Xenopus tropicalis: one gene and its partners. The protein of the gene in region 1 binds, or shares a complex with, the protein of each later gene. Links are inferred from orthologs where the notes say so. Each region holds a gene or a part of one and is shown on either strand. Other genes may lie near its edges.

Region 1 (4,629 bases):
AGAAAATAGCTTCAAGCTGGACTAGGAAGTAGCAGGGAAATCTGAAGTTTTGCTTCTTGTGATACATATGCATGAGAACGGGTGCAGGGAGAAATTCACGTTAATCTGGGTGCTTTATAGAGTAATTTTAGGGGCTTCATGACTTATCCTTTAATGAATATGAAGGAATGATCAAGTCAAATATAGGCAAACATTTGCCAGTTTTACAAAAAATGTGTATGCGCAGGATCCAGTCATATTTGTGTCAGCAGCATTTTTGGATTTTACTTAAGGGTTCCCTACCTGTAGTCTGCAGAGAGCTTTTCAATGACTTATTATTTATTATAATGTACCAAAACCATTGCATTCTAAATAGCTTATCTGTGCAACGTGGAACCTAGACTTTACTACAAAAGGAACTTATATGTAAATGGTATTAGACCATCTAAATCACAATCCAAGTCTGGCTGTGACACAGCCTTTAGTGCAACAGTGCATTTAGATGTACCGATCAAACCCTTTATACCATATTGAAAGTTTTCTGTTGAGATCTTTCATGACCACTGATTTAGTTTATCTGCACAAAAATCATATGCGGTCATCTTTTCAGATAAGGGTGAAGACACACAGAGCTACTTGCAGCAGCTTCAAGAATAGACAATGCCACGAAAATGTGTATGATAGGGTATTTTCTGGCATTTAGCAGCCTGACAAGTAACTGCTACTAAGTAGCTCTGTGTATGTATCTTTCAGCCATGATTTTGCCCTACAATAGCACCTAACCTAAGCTGTTCTTTATAGGGCCTAAAACAAGCAAACAGTTTCCTCCTTGAAGCTGAATTATCAAATAGGCATAGCAAAATCATGGGGGAAAATACAAGGTAAAATAAACTAAGGATTCTAAGGATTCCATTGTTCATTTATGAACAACGGACAAATCTGAACCTGGGCTGTAACCCATAACAACCAATCAAATGTTTGCTTTCATTGTGCTACCTGAAGCTGGCTGAAGAATGCTAATCACTGACTGGTTGATAGGTTATTGCCCAGTGTTGATAAAATGACCCCCCCAAAAAACATGCTCATGCAAACAGGTGGTGCCACAGCTATTTTGAGAGTGTATTTTGCTGTAGATTGCACAAAATTTTAAGTAAATGCATGGAGATGTTATGGTGCTGCAATGATAGCCTCCATTTAAATAATGCTCCTCACAACTCTGTTAACAAGATTTAATGTACATTTATTCTTAACACGGGAACATAGAGTATAAAGATTTCATACTGAATAAATGATATATTCATTAAGCAAAAATAAAAATAAAACAAAAAAGGAATAGGCTGAAATTTACATTTTTTTGGAGCTACAAATATGCAGAAATTGCTGGAAAAAACTTCTCAAATTGTCTGGGGAACTGAAACAAAACAAAAAACAATAACAAAAAAAAACTCACACCTTGATTGGTAATGGGAAAAAAACCTTCTAAAAGTTGATAGGATTGCTGGATATACAAAGGGTGAGGAAGTGAAGTGTTCAGGGAACTCCTGCTCTGTAGGCAAACCGTCCACACAGGTCCCTCCCTCCATATACCTGGAGAAAGGGAGTTTTTAATAGGCTTAACCGTATCCCCCATTTTCTACAGATGAATGGGGAAGAGCTTGTGTGTTTGGGAAGGAAGTGGGTTGAGGTTGGATACAAGAGGTGTGTCTTTAATGTACATCATCATATATATACAGACATCGCAGCTTGCAACCTACAAGCTAAAGGTTAAAACCAGTTATAAGAGGCGATCTCCGATTATTACAATCTAAGTTTAAGAGGTAAGGGTGTTGCTTCACATGAAACTTTGGGGGAAAAGCGACTTTTCTGTGTCTCTCTCTCCTCCGGAAAACTAAAAGCGCTCCATGTCGCTCTCTGTTTAAAAACCTACATCATAAGTCTCTGAGGTTGTGGGGTTTTTCCAGCTCCGGTCGGATTCTGCAGGGTTTCTCAGCACAGTTAAAAAGGTAAAGTCTTAAGGTTTTTTTTGTATTTTTTTGTATTTTTTTTTTTAAGTTTTCTTCTCTTTAAAGGTTAAGGGCACACAATTTCTAGTCTAAAGATCGCAAGTGAGGAAAGAAATCCTGCAAATTATTTTATGGTGACTTGGGGGGAGGGGGGCATTCTCCCTATTCGATGGTTCAGAAGTCTGTATCTCCTTAAAAAGATGAGCCAACCCCTTGGCTAAAGGCTTAGGAGAAGGGGCAGTAAAGAGGAGGGGGAGAAGTACAGTGGAGCCCCTTCCTCCCCCAGTAAAAAAAAAAAAAAAAAAAAAATAGATATATATATAATAATTCACTGAAATACAGTAGCTTTGGTTAACACCAAAACACACAGAGAGGAGGAAAGAGGGCGGGGAAAGGTCCACAATGGTGGCCAATTCTCCTCTCTGGGGCAGACAGTGGATTGAGACGTAGTTTTTTGCATAAATAAAAAGGTGGGGAGAAGAGAAGGGATGGTGTCAACAGGATTCCGTTCTACGGTGGTGGGAGACTCAAAGTATTCTGGGAAGGTGTCTCCCTGCGGCCGTCATGACTGGCCAATCAAGAAGAGAACATCACAGATTACCTGTGACACGGAGCAGTTCATGAGTGGAGAGACAGAGATGTCCAGCAAGCGAGCCTCATACAAGGTGAATTCTGGGTGGTTCTCCTCAACTTTTGCCAACGCCAGCAGGGCACGTGATGCCCGCCGCATCATGTCTGTGCTGGTAGGCTCAAATGGTGCAGAGGAACCATGCAGGTGGGCAGCCTGACTCTGCTGAAACTGGGTGGCAGCCAGACTGTCCTCTAGAAAGCCAAGCAGGTTTCCAATACTGCCTTTCTGGAGGGCAATTGCCCTTGCTGCTAACGTGTCACCTTGAGCCAGATTGGCTAAAAGCACAACTGCCATTTCCCTGCACACATGGTTTTTTCTGTCACTTAAGAACCTTACCAAGGTCCCATACAACTTCTCCAAGCGACTGAAGGGCGGTGTGGCCAGGATGAGGTCCACGTTGCTGTCCTGGATACTTAACTTGCTAAGGGCTTCAAGCACCAGTCTCTGGGGGGACAGCACCGCATTGGGGCCCAGTGTCACAAAGGGGTCCTGTGCCTCAGCTGAAGGACACACCGCCCAGTGTAAGAGGCCATCCAGAATAGGCAGACATATGCTCTCAGGGTAGGGCGAAAGATCCAGCTGCCCTGAGATGTTTGCAAGCGTAACCAAGGTATTCTCACGCAACATCTCTAGGCAGTCCCACCACCACTCTGCTTTGTTACAGCTTACTCCCTGATCCCTCTCTTCCTCTTTCTCATAAGTGAGTGGTGCTTGCTTGCGTTCTGGATGCTTATGATGGAGAAGCACTAACTTTCCCAGTAGCAGCAACAGCCCAGGGTGTTTGGACATTTCCAAGTCATTGCCTGGCACAAAGGACAAGCTACGCAAGATGTTGGATATGCACACACAACGTCTGGACAGAGCATCCTGCCAATCCTCCAGTGTGCACAATGGGGTTTCATCTTTGCTGCGAGGCTCATCCTCTAATATTTTCATACCATGCCTGTTTCGTGGTGGAGGGCTCCCACCCAGTGAAAATTCACAATCTTCTTCAGTGGTTTCACCAGTCTCCTGTGATAATGAGCTTGGCCGGGCACACAGCACATCATCGATAGTAGGAGTGGTGTCCTCTGCTGCTGGAATTTGCTGCTCCCGGGATCGGCGTTTAACTGGGGGCCGCCTGCGTGGAGGGGGTTCAGGACGTCTTTCAAAATGTGTCTGGATGTGTTCAGTGGTGTCCCCCCCTCCAATTCGCCAGTGCAAGAGGCCACTTTCAAATTCTTGTAAGCGCCCCAACTGATGAGAGCAGTCTAACACAAAGGGATCTTCTTTTGAAACCACTTTTATTGGGAGCCGGTCAAACTTGCTGCTTTGTTGTTGAGTATCCTCGTTACTAGAAAAGGGAGTATTATAGGCCTTTCTCTCCTCTAGACCCTCTTCATCCTCACTTTGGGGGTCACCATCTGTCACAGACTGATGATCATCCCCATCAACCATTTCAGCATCACCTGAGAGAAGGCTTGAAGAATCAGATGGGAAGGGTTGAAGCAATGTCTTTTGAGCATGTTCTCCAACTTCATACTCTCGGAGGATCCCAAAGATTTCAATCAGGCACCGTCTGAAATATTCCACTAACAGCTCTAATAATCCAGGGAGCTATTTATGGGGGGAAAAAATAAGCGTTAAACATTTAAAAATAAAATGTTCATAACATTAAAAAAAACAAACAAAAACTACTTAAACCCAATGGGAAATAGCTTGCCAAAGGAAGAAATAAAGGAGACAGAGGCATTCAGGCAGTGGGTCCAAATCTGCATGAATGTTCCAAAGTAGTCTCTGTGGGGATTGTGAAGTGCAACAAGTCTAAAACAAGAGATATCCCTGGAAGCCTCTTTCCTTTGGCCCCAGCAACAGTAATACATAGTAAAAACCTTGCAAACTCCCAGCATACATAAGCAAGTGAATTCACAGACGCTTGGTTGCATGGCTACAGCTACTGCATTTTCTGTGAAATTGTTTGCTTAAAAGTACAGAAAGTATATTAAAATGACAAGCCTTTATAAAGGACACCAGTTG
Region 2 (5,319 bases), on another chromosome or scaffold:
TACATAAGTATATAAGTGAATAGGAACGACTGGGAGCCTCCAGACAAACAGAGTGAATGGTATTAAAATCCATATTGTCCACTGTGGTGGACCCCCAGTCTTAAGGTGGCCATTCACTGTAAGATCAACTCATTTGGCGAGGTCGCCAAGTGAGCAGATCTTCTCCCGATATGCCCATCTACGGGTGGGCGATATAGGGTTAATTCAATCAAATCAGAACGGCTGGCATAGGCGCCATCGGATGGGGGACCGCATCATCGAGCCTATACGGTCCCCCATTTGACGGAAAAATCAAACCTGCCCAATCGAGATCTGCCCAATTCCAGTTTTCTGTTGGGGAGGCCTGTCGGTGGTGCCCATAGACGGGCAGATAAGCTGCCTAATCGGTCACCTTTACATAGAGCGATTTGCATAAACTGAAAGTGACCATGTACTATGGCCAAGGCCCTGTTCTTTTCTGGCTCTCTAATCTCTTTGGCAAAGGAAAAAAAACATCTGGGTCATAACGCAACATTCCTCACCAGCTCTGACATAAATTGCCTGTACAGGAAATATAAAAGGATCGACTGCACACTAAAGATCACTGAAAATTTTAAGGGCAGCAAAGTGGCGCAATGGTTAGCTCTTTTGACTTTGGGGTCCTAGATTCAGTACCTAGAACTCAAATTGACCACAGAGGGCATAATTGTTATAGGTACTTAGAGCTTTATGCTACACTTGGGAAGGGACTGGTGTGAATGATATATAATCTTTGCCAGGCGCATAAGAATGTGTTAGCACTATACAAAGAATAACAATAATTATAATGTGGCAGTGTGAAGGGGGGCTTATTATATGAGGAATATAAAAGAAGCAGCTGAATACAGGTGCTTGACATAGTACTAAAGTACTCACTTTATGTGGAGTTTACAAGAAAGTGGAGCGCACACCATATCTGTTTGGCAAGGCCACGGAAATGGGGACCTGCTGCATGATCTGTGCCAGCAATGGGGACTATGGGAGCCCTGCTGATGAAGGACACACTTTTCCCTTACCCTTCCATGGTGACTGGTTCTCCTTTCTTTCCTGCAGGTCCCTGAATTGCAGTGGGCACACTATCTTCCTCAAGGCTCCAATCTTCCCTGCAGCGTACTTGTATCTTATTACTGGACCTGCAATCAAACAAATTTAGGATATAACTGATATTAACAACTTCAGTGTTTTCCTTTATCAGTTTTAAGTCCATTCATCCCCTCCCAATTCTCTCTCCACCGCCTGATCTCTATTATTCTGCTCTCCCCTCACCTTCTCCCCCCCTTCCCCCCAACCCACTTGCTGCATTTTTTTCTGCTGGCTTGTTAACAAAAGGCCCTTATGGGGCCTCACCAGCAATGACTAGGCTCGTCCTATTTTTATCTCAGTTTTCCTCACAACCTGACTGCCTCTCCCACCTAACTCATAAACTTGCCTGTCTCTCCCTTTTTGACAATCCCTTCCCGCGCCCCCCATCCAACACACAAAGTCTCCCCTTCCCATTGCCCCCAGCTCCCCCTCCTCCCTTTACAGTACCTTAACCTTCTCCACCAATCATTTTCTTCTTCAGCCTCCCAGACTTGTCCCTCGCAATGAACTCTGGGCAACGTAGTGCCATTTTCAATTCATATTCATACTGGCGCGGCTCTCAAAACTACAACTCCCAGTCTTACCCTCAACACGGCCTTTGATTGGCCATTGCGTGCAGAATGAATGAAATTGTACAGTATTGTGATATTAGAGGGGCTGCAGTGTTCCTGCCTAATACCCAGCTGCACCATGAACACAGCCCTCCACAACCCCTTAAAATCGTGAGTATACTGGACTTAAAGATAGTTACAGCTGTGTATACTGCATTTACACTGTCTGAGACTGTATATCTTTCAGATGTATACATGTGTGTTTAGCATTATTACAACATGGACATATCTACATGAATACTATGCATGAAAGAGTGTGTCTGCCTGCCAATTTGTGTATTATAGTGTGTGTGTGTATGTAATACATTTATTTGAGATTATATATATATCTATATATATATAGATATATGTGTGTGTGTGTGTTTGTTCTGTACATTTGCATGTAGATTGTTATATATATTAACTCTTGTGGGTGCTATATATATATTAAATGTCAAAAAGTGGAATCAACCATCTATTCTGCACGTATACTATGCATTATAGAATTTCACAGTGAGGTCACATCCAGCTGCTTTTAGAGGAGGGTCTTACATCTGGATTAGACTGTATCCTTAGGGTATGTCTGAGGTCTAGACTGCGACTGCGATCGTTTGCCTATTATCTATCCATGTATTTAGCTACCTATTCATCCATCTGTCTTTGCCTATCGTTCCTTTGGGAAAGGGAATTTATTTGTGATTACCCATAGTTCACTTTTCTACAGCATTTTCATATAAAATGTACAGCAGTGTTTTGCTGATTTTAATAGTATTTGGTTGCACCTGAGTAATATGAATTTTGAAAGCTAAATTTAGGGTATTGTCTTAAAAATAAAATCCCTGTAACTTATGTTAACACTATTAATGCATTTTATGCATAATATTTATTCAAAAATATGTAATATGCTTAAATATGTGTTTTAAGCCATACATAGCACCATGCAAGCAGAGCAAGTGAGCTGAGTGCCTGGGAACCTTCTGTCCTTAATTCCTAGTGCACATCTGGGCAGACTGTATGCACGTGATAAAGTAGCCATTAACCCAGTCAGTGCCTGAAGTAATCAGACTGTAATAATAAGCAAATAATGGATACTGCATCACTCTGCATACTGTTTGACACTAAATAATTATTTGTAGTTTTGCAGCCATGAGCATATTTAAAGCTGCAGAAGATTATAGAAGAACTGCATTTTGTCAGATATGAGTAAAATATGGGTTACTGCTGTCACCTAAAATCCTATATTTCTCCCAGTGGTTAAGCTGGGGACATTTCACTTTAACTCATTCAGCTCTGACTGAATACAACTGTGAGAGGCAGTTCTCGTTCTTTCTGGTACTGTGTGCAGTTATCAGTTTAACCTAATTTGATTTGACACATGCACTGCAAAATATAGTATGACTGCTCTCTGTAAAATGCATTATATGCATGCTTTTTATCAAAAATATTTGCAGATTGTGACTGTAGCTTTGTAAGCAAATTGGCAAGGCTTCTCTCTCAAGCAATGCACTGGACATGAAGACTTGATAAGGAGAAAGCCTTTATTGAGTGAAAATCTAATGTTACAGATTATCTTATTGGTAAATTAAATTTTTGGTAAATTAAAATACAGTTACTGTTACTAATCTTGCTTTCACAAGGACTTACATATATGGCGCTGTTGTATTAGGCTGTATGCCACACTCACATATATTATAAGATCCGTGTATACCTGCTTTAATTTGACAATTCTAATTTCTTTAGTATATTTGTATATTAAGGAGACATTGTTTTAATCATTTTTTAAAGAATAATAAGTTTTATCACTTATATTAGTAAGTAAAACAAAGGAAATTTAATTTATTAGAGGCACTGTGTCCAAAAGTTACTGCTTGGTAAATTTAAGCTAGAGTTTAAATCATTTTTAGGATAATTTGGCCACCAGAGGACATGGTTTCAGTGGACTCTGTGGTTCATATGTAACTGGTTGCATTGGTGAGAAACATTAAGGCAGCTTTTACTGCCTTATACAAATAAACATAATGATGCGCAGATAAATAAGGCCATGGTAAATACCTTATATGAATTTATAGAAATATAAATTGAATATAGGCCCTTTTACACTACACTAGAACTTAGTAAAGCACAAATTATGCAGTGTAAGTCCCTGTGTGTATATATATATATATATATATATATATATATATATATATATATATATATATACAGAGATCTGCATGTGCACCCAAGCAACCCTGATATGTTTTTTCTTTATGTGTCCTAACATCATTTCTGTCATATTGTTGATATTTAGGTACTATATATACTTTAATATATATTTAATATGTACTATATATATACTTTAATAATGAATGCTCCTTATATATATTTGTTGTGTGCTCAGCCTGGTGTAGTAAAGGGGCAGTATTATGGCAGAAAATAATTGAACGTGCATTATATTTTGACTGTTATATTGGTACACACTTGCCTATCCACTCAAGCTATCATTCCTGATCTTATAAAGTTGCCATTGAAACCAGCATTGCCAGTTTCCAAGCTGTCTGGGTCCTGTCTGTGTCTCAGCTCCAATTATATGTGTGCAGACATCTCATGACAGTTCTGCCTGACTGGGTGAACCCAGCCTGTTACATATTCATATCTGTGGGGAATTCATATATATTGTATCTGTGTGCATAATAAGCATATATGCTCCCATGTATCCATAAATGTACATTTTCTGTATACATGCACATGTATTGCTAAGAAAATACCTCTTCATAATAGATTGTTATACAGTACTATAAAATAATTATGTCATGCTTTGTGAATATTAATGATGACCACTGCAGAACTGAAGACTTACCTACTGTAAGATATAACTAGAAAAATATCCTATCTGAACAAGGCAATGATACATTTTGGAAAAAAATTAGAAGTATATTTAGAAGTGACATTTGCATGCAACAAGACTCCAGCCACTATAAACTACATTGTCCAAAATGCAGCAAGCCAGTGGCTAACAGTCACATGCAATGTCCCATTGCTTTCTGGGAAAAATGCACAGTCCAGAGCAGGCTCTAATTTAATATTTAGTAATGGACCAGGACACCGATAGTACAAATCCAATATGGAAGCAGAATTTTTAATCTAATATGGAATGAAATTCAAGATTGGACTATAAAATAAAAATATACATTATTTAGCACCAACTTAGCATTTAAAGTGAATTATATACTAACCTGTGTTTTTAATTTTTTGATATAGAATGGAATAGTAGGGAGCATTTTTCTTTTCAGTGCATCAGAGATGTCTGTATCTGTGCTATTAACTCTTATTTTCTCTTTCCTCGTTGTCTAATAATCTCCTCCTATTTTATGATGACTGACAGTGCAAGCAGCACTGTAAGAACCTCATCATATAAAGTAGAAGGGGTTATAGTCTTGATTGGCTGACCTTTAGGACTACAGCATTTTGTCCCCTCCCAATTTCTTTCCCAAGTTGGTTGTTGGTCATTTATATATTTAGGTAAATTAATATGTAAATCACATGTCAACATGAACACTTGGCTGCAATGCTGCCCAGTCTTTGCAAAAGTGTGATATCAATAAGTGGATGTAGAATTTTTGCTGTATTTTTCATGTCTTTGTCTGGA
Region 3 (5,480 bases), about 60 Mb from region 1:
TGTTAGCATTCAGTAGCCAATCAGTGACTTGAGGGGGGGCCACATGGGACATAACTGTTCAGTTAGTTTGGAATCTGATGCCAAGCTGCTTCATCTCAGTACCTCTGTTTTGTAGGTTGTACTGCTTGTTAGGGTTCCATTTGATGTCCATGGTTAATTTTTACTGTTGACTCTGTTTATGACTAGATTATGGTCTCTTTGATACCTAATATGTCACAAATTGACGATAGGATTTTGCATCTTTGCCTTGTATAAGACCAACTAATGTATCATTTGCAAACTGTAAATCCTATCATAATATTCCAATGTGTAGAGGAAAGCCTTTCCAAATAAGTACAGGCTGATTTAAAGCAAAAAAAAGAACCAGATTCATATTAATCTTCTTGGAATAAAGTTCCACAAACTTTTCCTGATATGCCCACCCTGAGGTAGGCAATACCGAGCTGACCTGATCTTTGGCCCAAGGGCAAAACTATTGGATCACAATTACAGTAAAAGCAGGATTTTGGGGCGAGGACTGCATCATCCATGCCCAGACTGGACTTTTTTTGGATAGATCTCAGTAAGGCAGGCCCGTTGGAGGGCCCAATACATGGATAGATAAGCTGCAGACTCAGCCTGAAGAAGATAAATCGGCACCTTACATCTCCCAATGTATTGTCACCTTAAGGCTGATGTCAGACGAGGTGTAGGGCGGATATTTTCGGCAAGCGGAAAAACGCTTGCCGAAAATTCCGCCCTACGCCTCCTACTTGTGCCTGCACACGAATGAATGGAATACGCTTGGGTGCAGGCACATGTAGCAAAAATACACATAAAAACGCGAGAGTTTGAAAGTCTCCCGTTTTTATGCGTATTTCGGCTACATGTGCCTGCACCCAAGCGTATTCCATTCATTCGGGTGCAGGCACATGTAGGAAGCGTAGGGCGATATTTTCGGCAAGCGATTTTCCGTTTGCTGAAAATATCCTCTCTACGCCTCGTCTGGCATTAGCCTAAAATGCCAGAAACAGGTGCATGGCTACAGGCCTGACCTAGAATTCAAAATAGGCCCTGGTATTTCAAGTACACAGAGGCCCAAACAGCCTCCCTGCCAGCCCAATAGATAGCAACTCCCTATGGCATCTTACAGCAGCCCCTCCGGCATTTGCTAGTATCCACAGATATCCTCCATCCTCTTGTGTCTTTGACTCTTATCTTATTACAATTGTATCTTTTATTTAATTGTGCTTATTGTAATACTTTGTATTTATCTATTTTAATACCCCCTGTTTATATTAATGTATTCTACTGTACAGCGCTGCATATATAAGTAGCGTTTTATAAATAAAGATATACATACATACATTTTCTAGTGTTATGGGACGTTAAAGACCCTTATAAACAAAGGGATATTCCATGTAACCTCTTCTTTTACATAGATATGTATATTTTTAGACAGGTCTATATTTTGTTCTTCATCCAACAATTAACAAAACAAATTACCCTGCCATGTTAGCTACTGGCGCAGATTTGGCTACAGAGTTATTCTAAACAAAATAGCAGTACAACTGTAGAGCAGGTATTAAGAAGTATATGAAAGGGAATGCACTCAGGTGACTCACACATCAGCACTAGGGCAAAGGTAAGTCTGAGGATAACCACACTAGCACGTGCTACTAACATGCTCACGCTACAGGACATGCAGCTTGTAAACAGTTCTATATATATATATGTGTATATATGCATTCCTCTCATTCCGTGCTGTCTATGGAAGGGGCACTTTCTGCAACAACACTCCAGCTGCTAAAGTATCAGGCACAGTTATGTCAGTTCTTTAAGTTATTACGCTTGTTGTGCTATTTGCTTCTATTTATGTGTTGTCAACACATTAAATGAAAGCAAACAATGCAATCAGCTAAAAAGTATCAATATAATATTTATTTTTCCCTAGATGAGTAGGAAACACAAATAGAGCATTTGGTATTAGTCAGGTAACATGAATGATTGAACCACTCTCTCCACCGACCTGTAGCACCATACATATGTTCTAGCCCAAAACCCTGCGTGTGTGGGGTGTCCCTAACTTAGAACCTCCCAAAAGGGTGAAGAGTTGTGCCACTGAGCATGTGCAGAGGATCCGTGTATGTGAAACAGATGCTGGCAGTTAGGAACCAGCAATGCAGGGATGTAGCCCTGTGCTTCCCCATGGACCAAAAGCAAAAGAATATAACAGAACCCAACCCAGGGCTTTACTAAAGGGATAATACTGGGGAAATGTTCACCCCTTTACTGTTTGGCACAATGACTGTGAATGGCAAGGGTAACAAGATCTGACATGACAGGAGAGGATAATGGTGGGGCCGGGAGTTGCCACTGAGGAGCAAGGTACTGACATGAAAGGCTAGTACTATGCCTTGCCCACTGAGCTGACAATTGGTGGGATGCAGAGTTATTTATTCTTCCTACAATAGGGCATTACTGTACATCTTCCATCTGTTGCTATAGAAATAAAAGATGGCACGGCATGACATGTCCGGATTCTGTAGCGCACAGGGACACATTCAGGGCTCATTTTGTTCTATTATTCAGCTTACTGGGCGGGTGAAGGCCCCATATAACCATTTAATATAACAGGCTCCCTTCTCTAGAGGAAGCATCATTGTCAGTAACCTAGGTGACAGGCAGAGTAGGGGCCATTGCGGGGCCTCCTGCTGCTAAGTGCCCACCAGCCCTAACACCCCCGTACTCGGGCCTGTCTCTTTGTTCTAGGTGTGCAGCTCAGGGAAACACACTAGGGGACTTCGTTTGCCGTAGGACTCGAAGTCCCTCATTGCAGTACCTTCTTATAATTCTTGCCCAGCCATAGCCGCACGTTGTCGAACTGTGCGACAGTGTCGGATGCCTCGTAAAATTTCACATTCGGGCCGCCGTCCTTCTTCCGCACCGCCATCTTCTGCCAGCTTGCCCGGCACCTCCAACCCGAGAGCTGAGCGGCACCTAGCGGCCGGAACGATAAGTGCAGCGGGACATCGGCAACCAGTGGCCCTCCAGTTGTTAGCGAACTACATGTCCCAGCATACCACGGCGGCCTTGGGCAGGATACTGCGGCTAAAAGCCACTGTGCCGCTAAAATGGGCAATATAGCGCCAAAAAGCCTGACGTGATATTATTGATTGGAAAGAAGAAGTGGCGATCACGGCGGTACGCATAAGACTTATACCGCGGTGCCAGCGCCGGGCACTTCCAGCAGGTGCGAACACTGTGACTCGAATATAAGAGTCAGTAAGTTCTTTCTACGGCCGGACTCACAGGCTGAATGTTCCTGCCCTAGTGCCGCTGGGAAACACTCGCTGCAGCAGCGCCCACACAGCAGCGCCCACACAGCAGCGCCCAGTCTTCCACAACTCAAATTGCCCCCTTCCATTCGGTGTCCTTTCCCAGCCCCTCCGTGCATTGCAGCCCCTCCAAGCATAGCTTTGCCAGGGAGCGTACGGCCGCCATGTTGGGGAAAAACGCACGCCGGCTCACGCTCTGTGTCAGTAGGCTGAGCGAGTTGGTTGGCCGACAGTCACGGTGGCCGAGTGGTTAAGGCGTTGGACTCGAAATCCAATGGGGTTTCCCCGCACAGGTTCGAATCCTGTCCGTGACGGATTCGTTTAGCTTGTAAATTCTATTTTTTTTCCTCACAAACAGAATATTCCCCAGGCTTACTGACTTTACTGTAGCTCTCCTCCTGGTGTACACTTTCTTACTGTAAATGCTACAGAGGTACTTTAGTACGTACTGTGTTTGGGCGACTTGACAATTCTCAGCGTCCCTCCAAAGTGTGACAGAATGGGGAGACTAACAAGTTGCCCATTAAAAACAATGGCGGATCGGCAGAGGGATACTGGACAAAACTTGGGCAAGGCACACACCACCAAAGATCCATGGGTGCTGCAGACCTGAACTCATTCATTTATTGTAAAACATTTTCATTTATTGAAAAAAAAATTGTATGGGTTCTGCTAAGGTTACACTAGGGCTGGGTGCAATTGGCCTTTTTATATTTGTATTTTTCTGCCCTATTAATAATTGGCATCAAGTATAAATTTTATTGGCCAGGTTGCACCTGTGTTGGGTACTGGGCAGGAAGGGGGCTGTGATAGTTACAGTAGTACAGATAGTGTGATAGTTACAGTAGTACAGATAGTGTGATAGTTACAGTAGTACAGATAGTGTGATAGTTACAGTAGTACAGATAGTGTGATAGTTACAGTAGTACAGATAGTGTGATAGTTACAGTAGTACAGTACAGTAGTACAGATAGTGTGATAGTTACAGTAGTACAGTACAGTAGTACAGATAGTGTGATAGTTACAGTAGTACAGTAGTACAGATAGTGTGATAGTTACAGTAGTACAGTACAGTAGTTAGTAGTACAGTAGTACAGATAGTGTGATAGTTACAGTAGTACAGATAGTGTGATAGTTACAGTAGTACAGTAGTACAGTAGTACAGATAGTGTGATAGTTACAGTAGTACAGTAGTAGTATAGTTACAGTAGTACAGTATAGTGTGATAGTTACAGTAGTACAGTAGTACAGATAGTGTGATAGTTACAGTAGTACAGATAGTGTGATAGTTACAGTAGTACAGTAGTACAGTAGTAGTGTGATAGTTACAGTAGTACAGATAGTGTGATAGTTACAGTAGTACAGATAGTGTGATAGTTACAGTAGTACAGATAGTGTGATAGTTACAGTAGTACAGTACAGTAGTACAGATATAGTACAGTAGTACAGATAGTGTGATAGTTACAGTAGTACAGATAGTGTGTTACAGTAGTACAGTAGTATAGTGTGATAGTTACAGTAGTACAGATAGTGTGATAGTTACAGTAGTACAGATAGTGTGATAGTTACAGTAGTACAGTACAGTAGTACAGATAGTGTGATAGTTACAGTAGTACAGATAGTGTGATAGTTACAGTAGTACAGATAGTGTGATAGTTACAGTAGTGTAGTGTGATAGTTAGTAGTAGAGTAGTGTGATAGTTACAGTAGTACAGATAGTAGTGTAGTACAGTAGTATAGTTACAGTAGTACAGATAGTGTGTAGTTACAGTAGTACAGATAGTGTGATAGTTACAGTAGTACAGATAGTGTGATAGTTACAGTAGTACAGATAGTGTGATAGTTACAGTAGTACAGATAGTGTGATAGTTTACAGTAGTACAGATAGTGTGATAGTTACAGTAGTACAGATAGTGTGATAGTTACAGTAGTACAGATAGTGTGATAGTTACAGTAGTACAGATAGTGTGATAGTTACAGTAGTACAGATAGTGTGATAGTTACAGTAGTACAGATAGTGTGATAGTTACAGTAAAGTAGTACAGATAGTGTGATAGTTACAGTAGTTACAGATAGTGTGATAGTTACAGTAGTTACAGAGTACAGATAGTTGATAGTTTACAGTAGTACAGATAGTGTGATAGTTACAGTAGTACAGATAGT
Region 4 (5,403 bases), on another chromosome or scaffold:
TACAGTAGCATTTCCTCTCCCCTCCACAAGCAATCAGCTTGCTACTCACCCTTAAAGGGACAGCAATAATAAATGCAAAGGTATACAGGAATACAATGGTAGTTTTGCTTGCATGCATCTTCCAGTACACAGCTTATGTTCAAACTGAACATAAAGCCCCTACACTAAAATATGAATGAAGCTGACACGCAGTTTTGGCATCATTTTGCCATGTATTGTTGTATGCTATGAAGTTAAGTAAGACTGTGTACAGCCACACAGTGTACTGTACAATTGCCTTTTTCTTATTGCTTGTCTATGCTTCCACAGCAACCATCAGGGGTTAGAACTGTAGGGGGGCCAGTCATGGCTGGGATTATTTTATACTGTTAAGGAAGACACAGGGGTCCCAAATCTTTGCAGGGATGAGACCCAACCGAGAAAATACATTTCCGATGGTTGTCCTTCATGCAGAGTTACCCAATGGAAACATATACAAGTATTACTGCACCTTAAGTGTAGTAGAGCAAGCTGTTGAAGGAGTCTTGTAACAAGGCCATAGTAACAAGCAGTATTCAAGTGTAACTGTAAGTCAAGGTTTCTAACCTGCAGCCATCCCGATATTGTTAAACTACAACTCTCAATGGATGGTGGTAGTTGTAGTTCAATAACAACGTGGCAGTTGTTCAGCTGCAGCACTGCCCCTAACGTAAGGAGTGAAAGCCACAGGAGACTTCAGGATTGCGTCGGTCGCTACATTGTCTGTGCACGTCGCTAACCGAGCGCTGCGCCGGCTGAGGAAGATTAGATGTGACCAGTTGCATTCCCGTCTGGATACCAGGGATTGCTATGGAGCAGAAGCAGTAATCCCACACAAGGGCTATTAAGTGATTAGCTTCTCTTGCGCTGACTACAAAACTGCAAACTGGATTTACAACCCGAACGCCTTGCGGTTCCCCTCTTGGCATATTGCAAAGGGCAAGTGGTGGAGAAACGACGTTACAGCTTTAAAAGTGCTGTAGGAGAGCCACATTGCTAAGCAACGGGGTGGCTGGGGTTACATGCACTGAGGTCACCTTATTTTGCAGTAACAGCAATAAGTGACCTCCCTGAGCATCATGAAGCCGGTGCACTGACTGCAGGAGATTAGCTGACACTGAGAAATACCAGGGGGCAGAGGTGGGAGGAGGGTGCTTAGCTCATATATCAGCAGTGCCAAAGAGCCCCTATGAGGAAATTAGAGAAGATAAAGCAGATAGGTGGAGGCTGGCTCTGGGCATCCTATTAAATGTCAGGGCACATGCAGGGACTGAGCTTTGATGAAGTGGCAGGAGTCCAGGCTGCACACAGCAAGCCATCAGCTGCCATTTGGCCAGAGCTAGCAGGCAGTGCAACTCAGTGCCAATTTAATTGCTCCCCACCTCCTGAAAAGTGTCCAGACATGGCCTAGACTGCCTTAACTCCTTCCCTTCTGGAACAACTTGCGCAGAAGAAGGCAGTGCATTTACAGCTTGTTACTGAACTACCATTGCCAGGATGTTTGGGTCTTGTTAGGCTTACTGGGAGTCGTAGTTCATTAGCAGCTGTTGAGCCGCCACAGGTTCCAGATCCGTGCCCAGACTTTGCATTGCACCGCTCACTTCTCCAGCAGCAGCAACTAAGGGGTTGTCTCCACCTCCCCTCACTGCTCTCTGTCCGGCCACCCAAGGGAGTGACCTCTGGTTCTTTGACAGCTCCCTAATACCTCGCAGAACACCCCTTCCATGCCACGCCTTCAGCTTCGCGATTGGCTGGCGCGCCGGTAACCCTCATTCCTATTGGCTCGTCCCTCTCCCCCCACCCGCAACGAACCTTCAGAACTCCGAGACAGACAATATTCAGTTACATTGTAGCAAGATGGCGACTGTCATTCACAACCCACTGAAACCGTGAGTAGAAATGGGCAGAATCCGCGTGTTTCCATATGAAAAAAAGGCGCCTTTCTCGGCTGGTGCGGAGCTTGTGTGGAGACAAGTGCGACTCCCGAATGCACCGGGCGCAGCTCCAGGCACTGACTCGCTACCCGGGCACTGGCAGCCTTTATGCCTACTCTCTTTATTCTTTCCCTGCACTTGCTACTGTGGTACGGGCGCCTGACGGGTGTTGCGCTCTGCCTTGTGCGCTGTGGGTACGGCTGGGAATGTGCCAGCTTGAGGCAACTGGGCACTTACTGCGCACCGGGTACCTAACCGAGCGGGGCGTCCCGGGTAGAAGCCAGACCTTTGTGAGAAGCAGCGCAGCGGGTGGCATGTGGGGTGCCAAGCCTGGTACCGTAAGGGTGCTTTTGGGGTGTCACAGGCATGGCCGGGTAATAGAGATTAGAGTTTGGAGAGCCAGCGTGGCAGACAAAGGGCGATTTTGAGGTGATAGCCGTTGCACAGTAATTATGGTATCGGGGAGTCAGGAATGGAAGAGTCTGCGGATTTCGGGGTTCCAGGTACAACAGAGTAAGGATGTGCCTATGATACCTGTTGTATTAGAGCAAGCGTGGTTACTGGGTGCCAGCTATGCCAGAGTAAAGATACTTTGGTTCCCTTGCTTTATCCTAGTGAGGGTGCTATCTGGGTGCCACTTATAGCACAGGAGGCGTGTTTGGCGTGAGTGCCAGTGATGACACGGTTATTTAGCTTTTAGGGTGCAGGTGTAGCAGAGAAATGGTGCTTTTTAGGATGCCTTATAGTAGCATGATGATACCTGTAGGTACAGCAGAGTACTGATGCTTTAAGGGTGGCGTGTATAACAGAGAAATGGTGTTTTAGGGTGTCTTGTGTACAAGAGTAATGATGCTTTTTGGTGGCTGGTACAGCAGGGCAATGATGCTTTTCGCCTGCTTTAGTTGTAGAATAGCAGAGTAATGATGCCTATAGGGTGCAAATATAGTAAAGTAATGATGCGTTTAGGGTGCAGGAATAGCCCAGTAACGATGCAGGTATAGCAGTAACGATGGATTTAGGGTGCAGGTAAAGCAGAAATGTTGGATTTAGGGTGCAGGTATAGCAGAGTAATATGCATTTAGGGTGCAGGTATAGCAGTAACGATGGATTTAAGGTGCAGGTAAAGCAGAAATGTTGGATTTAGGGTGCAGGTATAGCAGAGTAACTATGCATTTAGGGTGCAGGTATAGCAGTAATCATGCATTTAGGGTGCAGTTATAGCAGTAATCATGCATTTAGGGTTCATGTATAGCAGAGTAACGATGCATTTAAAATGCAGTTATAGTAAAGTAATGATGTAGTTAGGGTGCAGGTATAGCAGAGTAACCATGCATTTAGGGTTCAGGTATAGCAGTAATCATGCATTTAGGGTTCAGGTATAGCAGAGTAAGGATGCATTTAAGGTGCAGTTATAGTAAAGTAATGATGTAGTTAGGGTGCAGGTATAGCAGAGTAACGATGGATTTAGGGAGCACATATAGCAGAGTAACGATGCATTTAGGTAGCAGGTATAGTAAAGTAATGATGTAATTAGGGTGCAGGTATAGCAAAGTAATGATGAAATTAGGGTGCAGGTATAGCAGAGTAACGATGGGTTTAGGTAGCAGGTATAGCAAAGTAACGATGGATTTATGTAGCAGGTATAGTAAAGTAACGATGCATTTAGGTAGCAGGTATAGTAAAGTAATGATGTAATTATGGTGCATGTATAGCAGAATAACGATGCATTTAGGGTGCAGGTATAGCAAAGTAACGATGCATTTAGGTAGCAGGTATAGTAAAGTAATGATGTAATTATGGTGCATGTATAGCAGAATAACGATGCATTTAGGGTGCAGGTATAGCAAAGTAACGATGGATTTAGGGTGCAGGTATAGCAAAGTAAAGATGGATTTAGGGTGCAGGTATAGCAAAGTAACGATGGATTTAGGGTGCAGGTATAGCAAAGTAACGATGCATTTAGGGTGCAGGTATAGCAAAGTAACGATGGATTTAGGGTGCAGGTATAGCAAAGTAAAGATGGATTTAGGGTGCAGGTATAGCAAAGTAACGATGGATTTAGGGTGCAGGTATAGCAAAGTAACGATGCATTTAGGGTGCAGGTATAGCAAAGTAACGATGCATTTAGGTAGCAGGTATAGTAAAGTAATGATGTAATTATGGTGCATGTATAGCAGAATAACGATGCATTTAGGGTGCAGGTATAGCAAAGTAACGATGGATTTAGGGTGCAGGTATAGCAAAGTAAAGATGGATTTAGGGTGCAGGTATAGCAAAGTAACGATGGATTTAGGGTGCAGGTATAGCAAAGTAACGATGCATTTAGGGTGCAGGTATAGCAAAGTAACGATGGATTTAGGGTGCAGGTATAGCAAAGTAAAGATGGATTTAGGGTGCAGGTATAGCAAAGTAATGATGGATTTAGGGTGCAGGTATAGAAGTAATGATGCGTTTAGAGTTCAGGTATAGCAAAGTAATGATACGTTAGTAAAGTGCCAGTGTCAGTGCTGTAAGAGGGTTATAGGTGGCAGGGGTTGCTTAATGAAGGGCATAGAGGGCATTTGTCTGGGCTCCCGCATCACAGGTGCTTCTTAAGGAGAAAAGGTAGATTCAACGACTAATAACATATTATCATGTTATCAAATGGCTGTATTGTCAGTAATGACGAGTCTAGTCTAACACACATCTTTCCAACTGTTGCTGAATTGTAATTTCCCGCAGACGGCCGGACAGTGGGGGATGGTGCTGATTAGCAGTGGGCAGAGCTTTGTTCTGTGGTTCAGCTGATGGCAATGAGGGGCGCTACGTATGGGAGTGTGCCCACCGGGAAGGTGATGCCATTGGGTAAATATGGGGGGGCAGTGGGGCACATCTGAGAATCGTGCCAAGGATGCAATATATATTGGCTACTGGAGGCGCTAGTTTATGGGATACCTGCCGGACGCTATTAGCGATCTGATTTAACTGAAGGTATATTTGTGTGTTACATACCAACAAATCACGTCATAGGGGTTATTTTGGATGGGGGTGTGAGGGAGTGCTAGAGAGTCGGACCCAAGCAGATGCTCTCAGGGAACAGAATATGTTATTGTTTCTGCAAGGGCAAGGGTACCTGTTGGCCATATTAATATATTATATGGAAAGTTAGGCAGGAAGGGATTGGCGAGTTATTGGACCGGACTGTGAAAGAGAGAACAAGTGGGAATAACTAGGGGTGCTTTTATATTGAGGTCAGGGGTAGCCAGTGAGATGGAGCGTTTGTTATTAGGCCTCTATTGCCTGAGGTAATCATAGCTGGGTTACCTCAGGCAAGGGGTAGCCAGTGAGATGGGGCATTTGTTATTTATCAGAACAGAGTAAGGGGACCTGCAATTTGCAGTTTAATCTAATCTGTGCATCTGAGGCCATGCAAGGGGTAACCTATCAGAAGGGATATTTCTGATTCAGGATG

The links. The genes of interacting proteins can lie anywhere in the genome.
Region 2: arid1a (region 1) and dpf1 share a complex: the UniProt entries of both Homo sapiens proteins name them as parts of the neuron-specific chromatin remodeling complex. The link is inferred for Xenopus tropicalis from reciprocal best matches to the Homo sapiens genes ARID1A and DPF1.
Region 3: arid1a (region 1) and smarcc2 share a complex: the UniProt entries of both Homo sapiens proteins name them as parts of the neuron-specific chromatin remodeling complex. The link is inferred for Xenopus tropicalis from reciprocal best matches to the Homo sapiens genes ARID1A and SMARCC2.
Region 4: arid1a (region 1) and dpf3 share a complex: the UniProt entries of both Homo sapiens proteins name them as parts of the neuron-specific chromatin remodeling complex. The link is inferred for Xenopus tropicalis from reciprocal best matches to the Homo sapiens genes ARID1A and DPF3.

Annotation. Positions count from the first base shown.
Region 1 is NC_030678.2:77,722,573-77,727,201, reverse strand, and holds the end of arid1a (AT-rich interactive domain-containing protein 1A), read right to left. Parts: intron 4,210-4,629; coding exon 2,545-4,209; 3' UTR 1,195-2,544; downstream 1-1,194. UniProt on the Homo sapiens protein: Involved in transcriptional activation and repression of select genes by chromatin remodeling (alteration of DNA-nucleosome topology).
Region 2 is NC_030684.2:77,398,467-77,403,785, forward strand, and holds the start of dpf1 (zinc finger protein neuro-d4), read left to right. Parts: upstream 1-1,791; coding exon 1,792-1,823; intron 1,824-5,319. UniProt on the Homo sapiens protein: May have an important role in developing neurons by participating in regulation of cell survival, possibly as a neurospecific transcription factor. Belongs to the neuron-specific chromatin remodeling complex (nBAF complex).
Region 3 is NC_030678.2:137,466,210-137,471,689, reverse strand, and holds the start of smarcc2 (SWI/SNF complex subunit SMARCC2), read right to left. Parts: upstream 3,529-5,480; 5' UTR 2,933-3,528; coding exon 2,822-2,932; intron 1-2,821. UniProt on the Homo sapiens protein: Involved in transcriptional activation and repression of select genes by chromatin remodeling (alteration of DNA-nucleosome topology).
Region 4 is NC_030684.2:106,340,171-106,345,573, forward strand, and holds the start of dpf3 (zinc finger protein DPF3), read left to right. Parts: upstream 1-1,875; coding exon 1,876-1,907; intron 1,908-5,403. UniProt on the Homo sapiens protein: Belongs to the neuron-specific chromatin remodeling complex (nBAF complex).